Elephas maximus indicus: one gene and its partner. The protein of the gene in region 1 interacts with the protein of each later gene in a biochemical or structural test. Links are inferred from orthologs where the notes say so. Each region holds a gene or a part of one and is shown on either strand. Other genes may lie near its edges.

Evidence for each region. The genes of interacting proteins can lie anywhere in the genome.
Region 2: the proteins of NR2F1 (region 1) and BCL11A form a complex in vitro, tested with the Homo sapiens proteins (2 studies listed by BioGRID). The link is inferred for Elephas maximus indicus from reciprocal best matches to the Homo sapiens genes NR2F1 and BCL11A.

What each region holds. Positions count from the first base shown.
Region 1 is NC_064820.1:100,819,812-100,826,744, forward strand, and holds the start of NR2F1 (COUP transcription factor 1), read left to right. Parts: upstream 1-3,849; 5' UTR 3,850-3,936; coding exon 3,937-4,396; intron 4,397-6,856; coding exon 6,857-6,933. UniProt on the Homo sapiens protein: Coup (chicken ovalbumin upstream promoter) transcription factor binds to the ovalbumin promoter and, in conjunction with another protein (S300-II) stimulates initiation of transcription. Binds to both direct repeats and palindromes of the 5'-AGGTCA-3' motif.
Region 2 is NC_064844.1:1,681,882-1,689,438, forward strand, and holds the start of BCL11A (B-cell lymphoma/leukemia 11A), read left to right. Parts: upstream 1-4,493; 5' UTR 4,494-4,551; intron 4,552-4,790; exon of another isoform or gene 4,791-5,029; 5' UTR 5,030-5,137; coding exon 5,138-5,192; intron 5,193-7,420; exon of another isoform or gene 7,421-7,421; coding exon of another isoform or gene 7,422-7,470; intron 7,471-7,557. UniProt on the Homo sapiens protein: Transcription factor. Associated with the BAF SWI/SNF chromatin remodeling complex. Binds to the 5'-TGACCA-3' sequence motif in regulatory regions of target genes, including a distal promoter of the HBG1 hemoglobin subunit gamma-1 gene.

The DNA of each region.
Region 1 (6,933 bases):
CCTCTGTGCAGTCTGGAGGATAAACTTGAGAATTTCTATACAGAGAGCTTGCCTTTTTGGGGGGGGTGGTAGGGAGGGCTAGGGGGGTCTCCTTTAATCATGTTGTTTCACCTTTTAACTGACCAAACGACTTGAGCGCGTTTTTTTGAGGAGAGGGATGAGGGCGAGGAGCTCTTGCAGCCCCTTGTCGCCTCCTCTCCATCAGCTGCGTACAATGGGCCGCTGCTAGCCGAGTGCATTGACAAACTCTCCGTTATTCGAGCTGGAGGGGCTGGGGGACAAACACGGGAAAGCCTTTATTCCGCTCTTTAAAAATCATCGCTTCTGCTCATCACTAGGCGATCGCCTGCACGCTACACGAAGGCTAGAGATACCGGGAAGCGCAAAACGCACCCCAAACACGCAGCGCTTCCTAAACCCCTCCCTGGTGAGATTTAAAGTGAGAACCAGTATTAAAAAACAGACCCTACCTCTGTCAATACTGCGTGGCCATTTACTTCCACCTTTACCTGAGGGCGTGTTGGGGCTCGGGATGCTCGACCTGAGACAAACTTTTGCGCTTCCCGAGTCCAGGGGCTGGCGAACCGCCGAACGCCGCTCCAACCCCCAGCGGCAGCGGCGGCGGCTTTGTCACTCGGAGCTTCTCCCGCGCCCGCTGGAGCCTGCCTAGGGGAGCGAGCTCAAAACGAGGGGGGTGGGGGGGACGGTTGCGAGTGTGCGATTGGAGAATATGTAACTAATAGAAGTATCATTTCCCCCCAGTAAGATCTTTCAAGGAAAAAAAAAATCCATTGAAAGAATTTTCAAAGTGCTGTCTTCGTTTGGAAAAAGACAGGCTGCCTGAGGGGAGGGGAGGGGAGGAGGGACTCGGCTGTGCACCGCCAGGGCGCGACTCCCGTCCGCTAGGTGGCAGCCGGAGCCAGCGATTCCTGCAGGCCCCGCGGCGGGACCCGCTCCTCCCGCCTGCCCCTCCACCCACGACCAATCACCTCCGGGAATCCAGGTCTCAGTTTGTCTCTGCGTCTCTGTCTCTCCCTAGTCCTACCCCTTCCTTTTGCCTTCCACTTCTCCACATCTTCTCGTCCACCCTCTCCCTCTTTTCCTGGGACCCTGATTTGGCCGACCTAACGCCCTCCCCCCCCCCAACAAAATGAAGACTTATTTCTGCTTTAATAATCATGGAAGTGTTGTTTTGGAGTTTGGAACAGCCTGAGGATATGAGGATACAAAACGGGGGGGGGGGTTGATTGAAAAGTTTATTTTTAAAAAACATCTTTGGGGTGAGTAGAAACCTTGATTCGAATAGAATTTGTGATAATAGCTGCAAATTCCAGGAGTGTGCTTTGTCATAATTAAACCTATAATCCAGAATGTACTTGGGGCCAAAAAATAGGGAAACCCTACCTTGCTTCTAAGAAGGAAATAAAATGAGCAGAAGCCAGACTTGGGGAAACAATCCAAACCCAGTATATTTCACGAGTCATTAAAACAGTGGGGTTTCATTCCCATTAAAAAATTTTTTTTCTAACATTTACAGTGACATTCTTTTCACGCTTATAAAATCTAAATTTAAAAACTTTTCAGAAGAAATCAAAATAATTTCCTTCTAATTCTCTTTTCGCCCATCGACATCCCTTCCCCCTCTAGGGTGTGTGTGTGTGTGCGTGTGTGTGTGTGTGTGTGTGTGTGTGTGACCGTAGACGACCCATACTAATCAGGTCTCAGAGTAAATAGCAGCGCAGGGCGATCTCAATGTAAATTGTGCTTGTCAGAAACACACCCCCCTCCCTCACTTTCTCTCCTCCTCCCCTCGGCATCCTAGTCAGTAGGTAGCTAAGAGGCAGGGGGGAAAAAAAAAAAAGAAAGAAAGAAAAAGAGGTGGGGGGAGGGGCTCTCCAACCAATGGCGTGCGGGAGGCTTGGCTAACCTTAGACTCCCATTTTCTCTCCCCCCCGATTCAGGGCTCTGACCAGTCAGTCGCCTTTGATTATCAGTTGCCAGCAGCCCTTCTCTTGGCTCCTTGACACGAGCTCCATATAAGGCAGCGATCTCCATAGAAACGTGTCAGTTTCAATAGTAGTGTCAAAGTTCACTATATACAGACATTCGCGCAGATCCCCCTTTCGGAAACATTGCTCTGCGAGTCCTCCCGTTTAAACGCATTCAATTTTTGGGTCTCTCTCCTCTCTCCCCCTCTCCCTCTCTCCCTCTCTCTCTTCCTCTCTCTCTCTCTCTCTCTCTCCCCTCTCTCTCCTCTCTCGCCCTCTCTTCTCTCCCCCTCTCGCCTCTCTCCTCTTTCTCCTTTCTTACATATTCTATTAGTTGTTTCCCCCTTATTCTTCTTCTCCTTCTTTCTCTTCTTTTTTTCCCTCCTCCTGTCTCTTTTACTCCATTCTTGCACAAGAGAGAGGTCTAAACTTAAAAAAAAAAAAGGAGGAGACACCCCCTTCGTATTCTTCTTATCGTAATTTTATACATATATGATTTTTTTCTTTTTTTTAAATTTTTTTTGGAGGGAGGGTGTTGGTTCCCGGCTGAAGAGCACTTATTTAAAATACTAAAAAAAGAACATTTTTGGGCGATCTCCAGGGTTTTTTAACTAGCTCTGTGTGTTATAGCAGAAGAAGCAGAAGAAGAAGCAAGAAAGAGGAAAAGAAGAGGATTATTTATTCGACCTACTTTGGATGTCTCTCTCGTCTATTTTTTTTTTTTTTTTTTGCAATTCTTTTTCCTCTGATTTTTATTTTTTTCTATTTCGCCGTGAATTCGTCGCCGGCGTGAATTATCCCGTATTTTTCTCCCCCTTCCATCACCTCCTGAAAGAAGGCAGCGAGAGCTCGGCGCCACCGGCACAACAAAAAGAGCAAAGTGTGTGATCCTCCCCGCCGGCTGCCTCCCGCTCTCCAGCGCTGCCTTCCTGAATGGCTGGCTGCGTCCGGCCCTGGACCTGGCCCCCAGACACCCGCGCGCCCTGATCGCTGCCGGCAGCCTCGCCCCGCGCCCTGCTCGGCTCCCCACGCTTCCCGCACTCCCGAGCCGGGCAAGGGCTCCCGCCGGGACAGCGGCGGCGGCGCGGGCGGCTCCAAGCCCGGCTCGCGCTCCGACTGCAGCCCCGGCTCCAGCTCCGACTCCGGCCTCGGCCCCGGCTCCTCCAGAGGCGCTCGCCGCAGCTGCTGAGGCGGCGGCTCCAGCGGCGCCTGCAGCCGCGACCTCCTCCTCAGCCACCGCCGCCACCGCCTCCGCCGCCGCCTCCGCCCTCGCCGGCTTCCTCTATGTCGGCTCAGCCCGCGCGCTGCGCTTAGCCCCGGCGGCCGGCGGGCGGGAGGGCGCCCGGCGCGGGTGAGCGAGTGTGTGTGCGAGTGTGTGTGTGCGCGGGGGTGCGGGCGAGGCGGAGGGCGAGTGTGTGCGCGCGCCGTGGCCCATGCCCGCCGCCCCCGGCGCAGCGCCCCGCGCCGCTCCCCGCTGCCGCCTGTGCCATTTCTGATTTTGCAACTTGGGGAAGAAGAAAAAAGCGAGAGAAGGGAGCTTGCTCGTCGGGGGGGTGGGGAGGGGGGGAAGGAGAGCGCGGCCCCCCCAGGAACCGAGCGCGGGGGGAGCGGGCGAGGGGAGAAGGGGTGTGGGGGGGAGCCTGAGAGCCTGGGGGGGCTGCAAAAAGAAAGAAAACAGCAGGAACCACAACAAAACGCCAGCAGGGCGGGCGGGCGCGCAGCAGCAGCGGGGCGGCCGAGGCAGTAGCTGCGGCGGCGGCGGCGGCGGCAGAGGCAGCGGCCGGTGCCCGGCTCGGGCTCGGCTCCGGCGACCCCGGGGCGCCCGGCGGGCCCCCCGCCCCCTCCCCCTCCCCCTCCCCCTTCCCCTTCCCCTCCCCGCGCGCTCGCGCGCCCCGCGGCCCTCGGCGAGCAGCTCGGCTCCCCCCCAGCGCTCCCCGGGCCCAAAGATATGGCAATGGTAGTTAGCAGCTGGCGAGATCCGCAGGACGACGTGGCCGGGGGCAACCCCGGCGGCCCCAACCCCGCAGCGCAGGCGGCCCGCGGCGGCGGCGGCGCCGGCGAGCAGCAGCAGCAGGCGGGCTCGGGCGCGCCGCACACGCCGCAGACCCCGGGCCAGCCGGGAGCGCCCGCCACCCCCGGCACGGCGGGGGACAAGGGCCAGGGCCCGCCCGGCTCGGGCCAGAGCCAGCAGCACATCGAGTGCGTGGTGTGCGGGGACAAGTCGAGCGGCAAGCACTACGGCCAATTCACCTGCGAGGGTTGCAAAAGTTTCTTCAAGAGGAGCGTCCGCAGGAACTTAACTTACACATGCCGTGCCAACAGGAACTGTCCCATCGACCAGCACCACCGCAACCAGTGCCAATACTGCCGCCTCAAGAAGTGCCTCAAAGTGGGCATGAGGCGGGAAGGTGAATATTTCTTCTCTGCTTCTCTCCCCGCGCTTCGTCCGGCTCCCCGGCCCTCTTTCTATCTCGCGGGGGTGGCTGCTATGTGGGACTGGGGCTTCAGCGGTCCCGGTCCATCCCACCTTCCCCTGTTCCCTCTGCCTTCCTCCCCCTGCGTCTCCCACCTCCCCCCCCCCCACCCCCCAGCTCGCTGCCGCTGCCTCCCCCTCCCGGTCTGCGCTACTCTTCCCGGCTCCCCAACCCCGCCCGCTGCCTGCTCGGGATTGTGTCCCTGGGATCGTGAGCTATGGCTTAAAATCCCCTCCCTCCCTCTGTCTTGGATGTGCTCGGTGTGTGTCCCTTTTCCGGGTGTGCGTGAGGATGCTTGGGGCTGTGCTGGCATGAACTTGGGGAGGGGGTGCTTATTTCCCCAGAAAACTCTGTGTCTGTGTTTTTTCATTCCACTTTCTCCTCCACCTCTTCATACTCTTTATTTAAAATGGGAGAGGGCTGGGGACTGGAGTACCCTGAACCGTAGATTCATTGCTGCCATCATCCTTTTGGAAGCTTAGCTTGGAAAAAGAGGAGTGAGATTTATTGCACTTGTAGGTCTAATTAGGGGGGAAGGGGGGCTTCTAGCCTGTTCACTGGTTCCCTCTCCTCTCCACGGAGCTGGGGCCGCCTCCTCTGGAGCTGTGGCCTTGTGTTCACCCCTCTACTGTGAAAGGAAAGTTTGTGACTGAACCGTGCTTTCATAGTTGTGTCATTTTTTTTAAAGCATGATACTCCTTTTATTTCTTCATCAAACTCCACCCTCTGCTTAAATACTGCATACAAATTACAATTTACTACGCATTTACCGATCCTTCTGATTTGGCTATAATGCACAGACTGCAGCTGGCATGCGCTTTCACGTCATTTAATCCCTGTGTTGTATGGGTTTGTTGTTTGTGGTTTTTTTTTTTAACACAACTTTTGATGTTGGATTTAGATATGTTTCATGTTCATGTGGCAAGAGATGCAGTAGTTCCTTATAAATGTATTTAGCTGTTCACAGTTAAAGTTTATCTCCTAACAGTCGTTGAAGATGTCTTATGGTCAAATTAGCGAGCCAGACAATTTTGTAGAACTCAGATTACTCCTTCTTGTAATTGACTTTAAAATGATATTTTATATGCCACAAGAAAAGAAATTAAATTCCTTCAGATTTCAAGGAGGAGGCAAATATGATGACTTCATTTCTAGCTCCAGGGAGATTTTGTAGGCATCTGAGGAAAAAAAAAAACTTTGAATTGTGCTCTCATTTAATTGAAAAATAACTGCCAAGTTCAAAACTATAATTAGAAAAAAGTATTCTATCTATTATGTTTCAAGAGCTTAAATTGCACTGGAACTTGCATTAAAATTAGAATCAAAGCAAACTTAAGAAAACAGTGCACAGACTGAAATAAGACAGCTACGTGTACATGGACATATCTATATTAATTTGTTGAGGGGGAGAGTTCAGTAGCCCTAACTTTTCAGAAAGTTGCCTTTGTTTACATGGCAATTTAAAACACCGGCAGTGTTGAAGTAAAACATACACATTAAAAAAAAAAACTTTGGTCAGCTTTAAGAACTCAAAGCATGCTTACGTTTTGCATTCAGATGGTTAATGAATCCAGTGTTTTTGCAGTTGCAAGCTCGTGCATTCACTGGGCAAAAGCTGGCTGCAGGTTGCAGTGGCACGGCGCAGGACAGAAATTAATTATATTTCCCACTTTTTTCAATAATGTTTGGCTACTGTAAGTTCAACTTTTTTTCTTGAAAATATTCCATTTTCTGTCGCTTTTAACAGTGAGAACTTTGTGTGGGGCGACGAGGAGGAGGGAAGAGGGGAGGGGTGCAGAATACTTGCTCTCTACTCAAAAAGTTTTAAGTGGTTACGAGGGTATGTAACTTGTATCTATTTTAAGGATAACCCTATAGCATTTTTAGAGAATATGGAAACATTTTATAAGCAAAACGCTGCTTGCTTACAAATAAGGAGGCCGCTAGGCATTTGCCTAGAACCACAACCTCTCTCCGGTTTCGCCTATATATATTTTTTAAACCCTGATTTGTTTCGGTCTGGAGGGGTGAGTGGGGTTTCATTTTTCTGTGTGTTCCTCCTTGGTGGTGGAGGGGTTGGCGCTTTCTTGGCGTCAGGAGCTCTGCTGGCCATGCCCGGCTGGGGGCCTTGAAGTCAGGCCTGGTTCCGGCAGGGTTGGGGTGACCAAAAGGGCAGGCGACGGACGGGCAAAACGGGCGGTGGAGCTGGAGGGCCTTACCCCAGCTCTCCTGGCGGTGTGGTCTGTGAGTGAGAGCGAGCGCGTGAGAGAAGGTGCGCGGGGCGCGTGTGGCTGCGGGAAAAGCCTTCGCTTTGTGTCGGGTGCTCTGCGGCGCGGCGATGTTCGCAAGCCCCCTGGATGCACATTGCCTCTTTTCTCTCTTTCTTTTTGTCAGCGGTTCAGCGAGGAAGAATGCCTCCAACCCAGCCCAACCCAGGCCAGTACGCGCTCACCAACGGGGACCCCCTCAAC
Region 2 (7,557 bases), on another chromosome or scaffold:
TTCCCTCCTTTCTCCCTCCCTCTCCTCCCTCCTTCCCTCCCTCCCTCCCTTCCCTCCTTCCCTTCTTCCTTCCCTCCTTCTTTCCCTCCCTCCTTTTTTTCCCACTGGTCCATCCAGAATGCAGCCTGCCAGCCAGCCAAAGGCCCAGAGCGCCTCTGGAGAAGGACGCTGGACCAACTGTTCCCTCAGGAAGCCCCCTGGGGGAAGTCTGTGCCTTTGCAGAAGGTGTAGACACTGCCCTCCAGGGGCCTCCCCAGGTCCCAGGCTCGGGTCACTCGGGGAGCAAAGGAGGAGGAAACGTCACGGGGGTGGGGCGCTGAGGGCGGCTGGGGGGAGAGCCACCCGCTTGCTCACAGCCGCTCCTCCTTTTTTATTATTTTCCCTTTGTCTTAACAAGTCCCTTAGCAAGTCCACCCCCAGGCACCCCAAATGCATCTACCAAGTGTAGAATCCAGATCTGAGCTTTATTTTTATAAAGATGAACGTACATTCTCTATTTTCCTGATCTGCCGATTAAGGGGGAAAAAAGATGAAATAAAAAGTAAGTTGGGATCGATTGTATTTTAATCATTCATTCATTTATTTATCTTTAAATCCATAAAGGTGTTTCCCCCTAAAGGCAGACAGTGAATATTTTATTTTAATCTTGTCATTTCCAGCGCGAGACAGACCTCTTAACCCTTGGTTCCCCAGCTTAGCCCGAGTGCCCAGCGCCAGGCGATCCTCCGCACCAGCGCTGGGACTGCGTTAAGCCTTCCTCATGGAGCTGTTTGTTGACCACATTCACGTTCAGAGCCCTGGAGCTAAAAGCACTTTACACCATAAAATAAAAGCACTGTCTTTTTTTTCTAAAAGGTTACGTCTGGAGGCCACGCGGCTCATACTTCATACCGAAAACTCCTGAAAGGACCATGAAACCCTCCTTGATTTACACTCTTGCACTGCATTAGAGAGCCGATCTGCTCGGCTCTAAAAAATACGGCGGGGTTTCTAACCGACGTGAATATATGTGCATTATTTCAGAAAGTCTGTTAGAAAACTTGTCAACACATTATAAAGCATAAACCAGGACTGGGCTATTAAGTGCGGAGATCAGAGGCAGGAAGTCCTGGGGAGTCTGCTCCGCCGGCGAGATAAAAAGGGGGAGGAGGGGAGGGCTTGTCTGCCGGCCTGGACTTTACGCAGCGTCGTCATCGAAGGTTGGGAAACAGCCCAAAGCGCGTCGTTACCTCCTCAGCGGACTCAGCAGAGGTTCTACAGCCCCGAACGGAGTTAACTGACCACCAGAAAATAATTTCAACGTTGTGGTAATTTATTACTTTTAAAAGCCACTTCTGGAAAGGTAAAATATACTTACTGTGTATCCAAAGTGCGCGCTTTTAACGTGACCTTTCACCCCCTCTACGAAACCACCTGCATCATTAATCAATACTTATGTAATATTTTTAAACCTCTTAAAACAACGCATGTTTTTTTCCTTTAAACACACCCACAATCTCCCCTCCCCCACTTTTGGGCGCTTTAGTGAGCTTCGAGCTGCGACGAGGAAAAGGGGCGTCGCCCGGAGGGGAGACGACTGGGGAGGGGGTTCCAGGAGCGATCAGATGCCTTCCCTCAGCCCTAGTTTTCTGGACTAGGTGAAATCTGGCTGGGGGAGGGGGTGGCAGCGGAGGGCAGAGTTTCCATTTCATCCTGGACATTTTATCATGGTGAAATCAAATGTATGTTGACGGTGGAAACCTCGCTGCCTACCTCTCCGTTGGTACCCAGGGAAAGCAGCTACAAAACTGGCTTTTTAATGCTATGTTTTAAGATGTGATTTCGGAAAGGACCCCCTGGAATCTGGAACAAGTTCAGTAACATAGCAGACCTACTTGTAACTAAGTGCTTAATCTCCTATGATTTTTTTAAAAGAGAAAATCAATAAAATGTTGCCAGTTATTTATAGGAAATAACCACAGATAGCGGCCCTGATGGGGTGCCGGTTTTAGAGAGCACCCAATTGTGTAATGAATTGTAATTCAGAAGACTGTTAAATGTGAACCACAGAACCTTTCAGAGGTAATAAACTCATTACTTTTTACACTACAGCCAACCCTGAAAAGCTTTATAAACACCATTCTATATAAATCATACATATATATTTCCCCAACACGCATTTGCCCATTTACGTACCTTCTCTACATATGGACTTTTATGGATGGATAGGAGCAATATTCAAATCTGAAATGCTCGATTCGGAAGGACTCTGGCTCACCATTGTTACCTGAAGGGGCTTTTACTTATTTTTCCAAGGCTTCCCAGTTACACTTTCTCCTTTCTTCACTTTCTAATATTCCTCCTCGCCGCCCTTCCCCGTCCCCCGCCCTACAGAGACATTCATTTGGTCATAAGGTTGGTTTAACAGACAAAAAACACCCGGTGGTGGGAGAAAGATGCTGAACTGCTCTGAAGAACTCACGGAAAAGAGGAAATGGTGTCACGCACACGCTACAGAGCCTTACTGCAAATGAGTCTTGCTTAAACAGGATTTGCGCTCCCCCCCGCTTTCTTAAACTGGAGGGAAACAGCAACAAACCGCATTTACACAAACCCACCTCAGCTCACACCCCTCATAACGTGGGGCATCCAAATCTCCTTTTTCTTCCTTGCGGAGACCTGAAGCGTCTTCAAGCTGGACAAGCGTCCTTTTCTAATAGGTTTGAAACTTTACTAAGATGACATAGGAATAAACAGCCGCTTGCCGGCGAGCCTGGGAGATGGGGGCGCGCTTGCCAGTCCAGGGCCCTTGCTTCAAACAACCCAACCCCCCCGCTGAGTGGGCGAATTTAAGGAGACGACACCCCTTAGAAGGAGGAGGGGGAAGAGAAGACCCGAGGGGTCGCGGGGCTGCTTGCGGGAGAGGGAAGGAAGGTTCCTTGCTTTGCAGCCACTCACACATGTCCACCTGCAGCTCGGAGTCTCGCGGGCAGCGGCGCCCGGCGTCCCCCTGCACTCTCCGCGCCAACCTTGGACTCGAGTCCATCCACACACCCCCACTCCCCAGCGTTTCCCGATTTGGAATCGGAGCGCCGTATCCGCGGCGGTGGCGGCGGCTGCAGGGTAGCGCAGGCAGGCGGGGAGGCTGGGAGGCGGGAGACGCCGGGGGACTTTGCAGGCACGTTTCGGAATAAACTTTCCAATCGCAGGGGGTGCTGTTGCTGTACATTTTACGTAAAACTGAAAGTATCCCATGCCAGAATGAAGCCCGCTTTTTGACAGCGGCAGCGTGTGTGAGTGTGTGTGTGTGCATGTGTGTGCGCGCGCGTATTAAAGAGACAGGGGCTTATTTCCAACAGGTCTTCCCTAATTTCCAGGGAATGTCTACAGAAAGACTAGAGGCGGCTGCGGGCTCCGAGGTGTGCGCCTTGGCCTGCGGCGCGCGAGAGCGCGGAGCTCGCCCAGAGCCGCTGGTCCCTCCGAGGCGGTCGCCCCTCCACTGTGGCCTCCCGGCTGCTCCCGCGAGCCCGCCGCTGTATCTCCATCCCCCATTTCCCTTTCCCCGGGTAACAGCACGGGAATAGTTGTGCTCTGCCCGTAAGCAGTACTTTCTTTCCATCCCTCTGTGCCTTTGCGGTGGGTCTGGAGCGGGAGGGGGTGTGTACCTCCTCGGGACCCGGCTCCGGGGCCTCTCGCGGCGCGGGGAGCGCGCTCCCAGCCCTCCCGGGACTGCCCGCGCTTTGTCCTCCTGCTCACGGCCGCCAGGAGAGGTGGACGCCTCCCCGGCCCCGGCCCTCGGTACTCCCGTCTTGGGGCTGGAATGCGCTCGGACTCTGGTTCCTCGTTCTTTATTCCGCGGCCCCTCTCTCACTCCGGGGTTCTGGGGAGCCTCGACTCCGCGCTTCCAGTTCATTCAAACCCAGTCGGTAGTCCAGGCGCTCAAATCCCCGGCCCCCGGCTCGGCCTCGGGGCGCCCTCCCGGCGCTCCTGCCCCGGCCTGCGCCGCTCGCCGCCTCCCTCGCCCTGGCCCCCTCCATCGAGACCGTCCGGGTTCGGGGAGGCCCCGACACTGCCCTTCCGGCCCGCGAGCCTCCAAACTTGGGCTGGACTCCGCTCCGCGCGCGCTCCCTCCCGCCTCCCCTCGCCCGCTGCGGCGCTGTAACTTGGAGGCTCAGCTCTAACTTCGGGTGATTTTCTTGGCTTTCCTCTCCTCGGGCAAAGTTTCCCGAGCGCAGCCGCGGGCTCCGGGCTTCCACTCCTGGCCCGGGTGTCCGCACACGGGGAGTGAGCGCGCCGGCTGCGGCGGCGGGGAGGGGAAGTGGGTGTGCGCACGGCGGAGGGGGGCCGGGAGCAACTCTACCTGCTTCCCTCCGCCCGCGCTTCTCCGGCCGCAGCCTGCAGCCCTCCGAGCACTCTTGCCTTTTTTTTTTTTTTTTTTTTAAATAATCTCTCATTTTAGGGTCCCAGTGGGGGGGGGGGAGCAGGACGCCCGCCTTGCTCCCCCCCCCGCCCCTGCCGCCCCTTTCTTCTCTCCCGGCCACGCCGCGGCTGCTGCGCTCGCTGCGGCCACTGGTGAGCCCGCGGCCCCGGCGCCCCCTCCCCTCCCCTCCGCCCGCCCCTCCCTCGGGGGCCGCGTCTGGCGTCTGCCGAGCCCCCCGCCCGCGCCTCCCCCGCCCCGCACTGGCCATTGGCTTGTCCTGGTCTCTTTTTCATGTCCAGCCCCTGATGTGTGTCCATTGGTGTGCGCTTCCCCTTCCCTCCTCCCCTTCTCTCCTGCTCGCCCTGCCCATGTTTTGTGTGTCTCTGTCCATCCAGACTCCTGACGTTCAAGTTCGCAGGGACGTCACGTCCGCACTTGAACTTGCAGCTCAGGGGGGCTTTTGCCATTTTTTTTCATCTCTCTCTCTCCCTCTATCTCTCCTCTCTCTCTCTCCTTTTTTTTTTTTTTTTTTGCTTAAAAAAAAAAAAAAAAAGCCATGACGGCTCTCCCACAATTCATCTTCCCTGCGCCATCTTTGTATTATTTCTAATTTATTTTGGATGTCAAAAGGCACTGATGAAGATATTTTCTCTGGAGTCTCCTTCTTTCTAACCCGGCTCTCCCGATGTGAACCGAGCCGTCGTCCGCCCGCCGCCGCCGCCCGCCCCGCAGCCCAACATGTCTCGCCGCAAGCAAGGCAAACCCCAGCACTTAAGCAAACGGGAATTCTCGCGTAAGTAACCCAATAATAGTAATAATAATTATTAATAATCACGAGAGCGCGCAGGACGAGCCGCAAGAGCGAGGGGGGAGAGGGGTGTGTGCGTGCATTTTTTATTTTCACGAGGAAACCTCCGAGAGTCGGAGTAAAAGAGATTAAAGGAAAAGGAAAAAAAAAAAAAAAAGAAAGAAAGAAACCTCGTCCCGTCTCGCACCTTAGCCGCGTGTGCACTTTTGGGATAGCATTCACCTTTTAATTTTATTTAATTAAAAAAGAAAGTCACCCCTCCTCTTACCTCCTTTCCGCTGCTTTATTTCTCTTGTCGAAAAGGAATGCGGTGGTTTTACCCCCCAGTTTTGCAAAATAATGAACAATGCTAAGGATGCGAACAACTCACGCGCCAGCCTGGGGGAGGGAGTCGGCGGGGAAAGGAGGGTGGCTTCCACTCCCCGCAGGAAAACGGGGTGTGGGGGGGGTCCCAGCCTACAAACCAATGCCGGGGGAGAAGAGGCGAGCCGGCCCTCGGACGCCGGCGCGCTCGCGGGCCGGCGTGACCCGGGAGGAAAGTAGGCTTCCCCGCCAGCGTCAGCCAGGGCATGCGGGAGGGGGCCGCGGCGCCGGGGAGAGCTGGGGAGCCGGGGAGAACGCCAGCCGCGGCCGGCGCTGCCGCCTTTTGTTCCGGCCCGAGGTGGGTGTTTGTCCCGCTGCCTTTTGTGCCAGCTCCTCGCGCTGGCCCTCCCGCGCCGCCGCTGTGGCCGAAGGGCCGGGGCCCGGGCCGGGGGCGCGCGGGAGAGGGAGGGAGGGCCCCGGGGTGGCCGCCCGGCTCGCCGCTGCCTTCCCCTCCCGGCCGAGCCTCCGAGGCGGCGAGGGGTAGACATGCAAAAGATAAAGACAGTTAAATTGAACGAGGCAAGAGAACGTAAAATTTCTTGCCCCAAAAAGCAGAAGCCAAGCGCTCCGCCAGCCCTCGACTGCAATGCTCTCCACTTTGACTTCCCCACCCCCCCCGCAAAAATCTCACCATCTCCAACCGAGAAAAAAAAATTACAATCACCCCCTTCCCCAAACCCCTTCACTCGCAGACTTAGAGCGCCGGCGGCACTGAGACGGAGCGAGGAACTCCCTCCTCTTACTATTTTTTGGAAGATTTTCAAAAAAAGTGGAAGTGGATTTTGATTGGGAAAAATCTCGTGTCTGAATGTTTACAAGCACCGCGTGTGCGGGAGCCTCCTGCCAACAAACAGACAGAGGACCGAGCGCAGCGCCGCGGCCTCAGAGCGGGCGGCGGCGGCGGCGGCCGGGCCTGGCCGGGGCCTCGCTGGGCCTCGGCGCGCCCCGGCCCCTCCCGGGATCGCCCACCCGGCGCCCGGCGCCCGCCCTCCGGGCACGGCGGCAGGCCACGCTGAGACTGCGCCAGCAGGGCCCCAGGTCCCCGCCCGCCCCCAGCACAATGCCCAGACCTCCTCCCGGCTTCCCCGACTGCGAAACCCGCTGGGGAGAAACTCGGCTTTGCAAAGCATTTTTATTCTGCAAAGCAACTGAAAAAGCTTGTTTCTGCGTGCGCCCCCTGCCCTCGGCTGTACCCCCAGAGGTCTCTTGTCCACCGCTCTCGGCCGCGGGGAGGGGGTGGAGGTCACCACGTGCATTCGCTTCCTCCCCCGACTCCCACCCCGGGTCTGGCCACCAGGTCCCTGTGCCGGAGCGGGGCCAGGCCCGGGCTGGGGCGGGGTGAGGTGGGGGAGGACTACGGAGAACTCTGGTCGGGTATGCCTTTGCGGGGCTCTATTCCGGGACCTCGCGTCCTTCACCTTTGGGTTCTTGCCCACTTCCTGGGCCTGACTTTGTCTGGGGTCCTTGTGAGTCTTTATAAGGCGGGGGGAGGGGGGGTCCCAGCTAACTGAATGCTCCTGTGAGGTAGTGGGTACTTAGGAAAGTTTGGCAGCGAGGGAAAGAAAGGCACGAGAAGGCCAGTTCTCTCCTCTCCATGACTCCCATTTTAATTTTTGATACAATTTTTAAAGGTCCACTTATACCCAGTCATGTATTTTTTGATGGGGTGGGGGCGCGCACAGGGAATTGCATTTTTCACTGGGCCCTGAAACTTGTCATACACTTCGGAAGCTCCCCCGCTCTCCTCCCCCCTCCCCAGCCCAAGCACGTTGCGGGGCCCTCCCTCTCCCCACCCCCGCGCATCCCTCCCTCGCCTCTCTCCCCCGCCCCCTACTCCCCCGGCCGCGCCGGATGCGGAGCAGACGCGGCGCGCGGCGGTGTGAAGTTACAGCCCGGCCAGGTACGGGCGGGAAGGAAGGGCAGAGTGCGCAGGACTTGGGAAAGCCGGGCCTGTCTTTGGAAGGTTGCACTGGGGCTCCAAGGACTG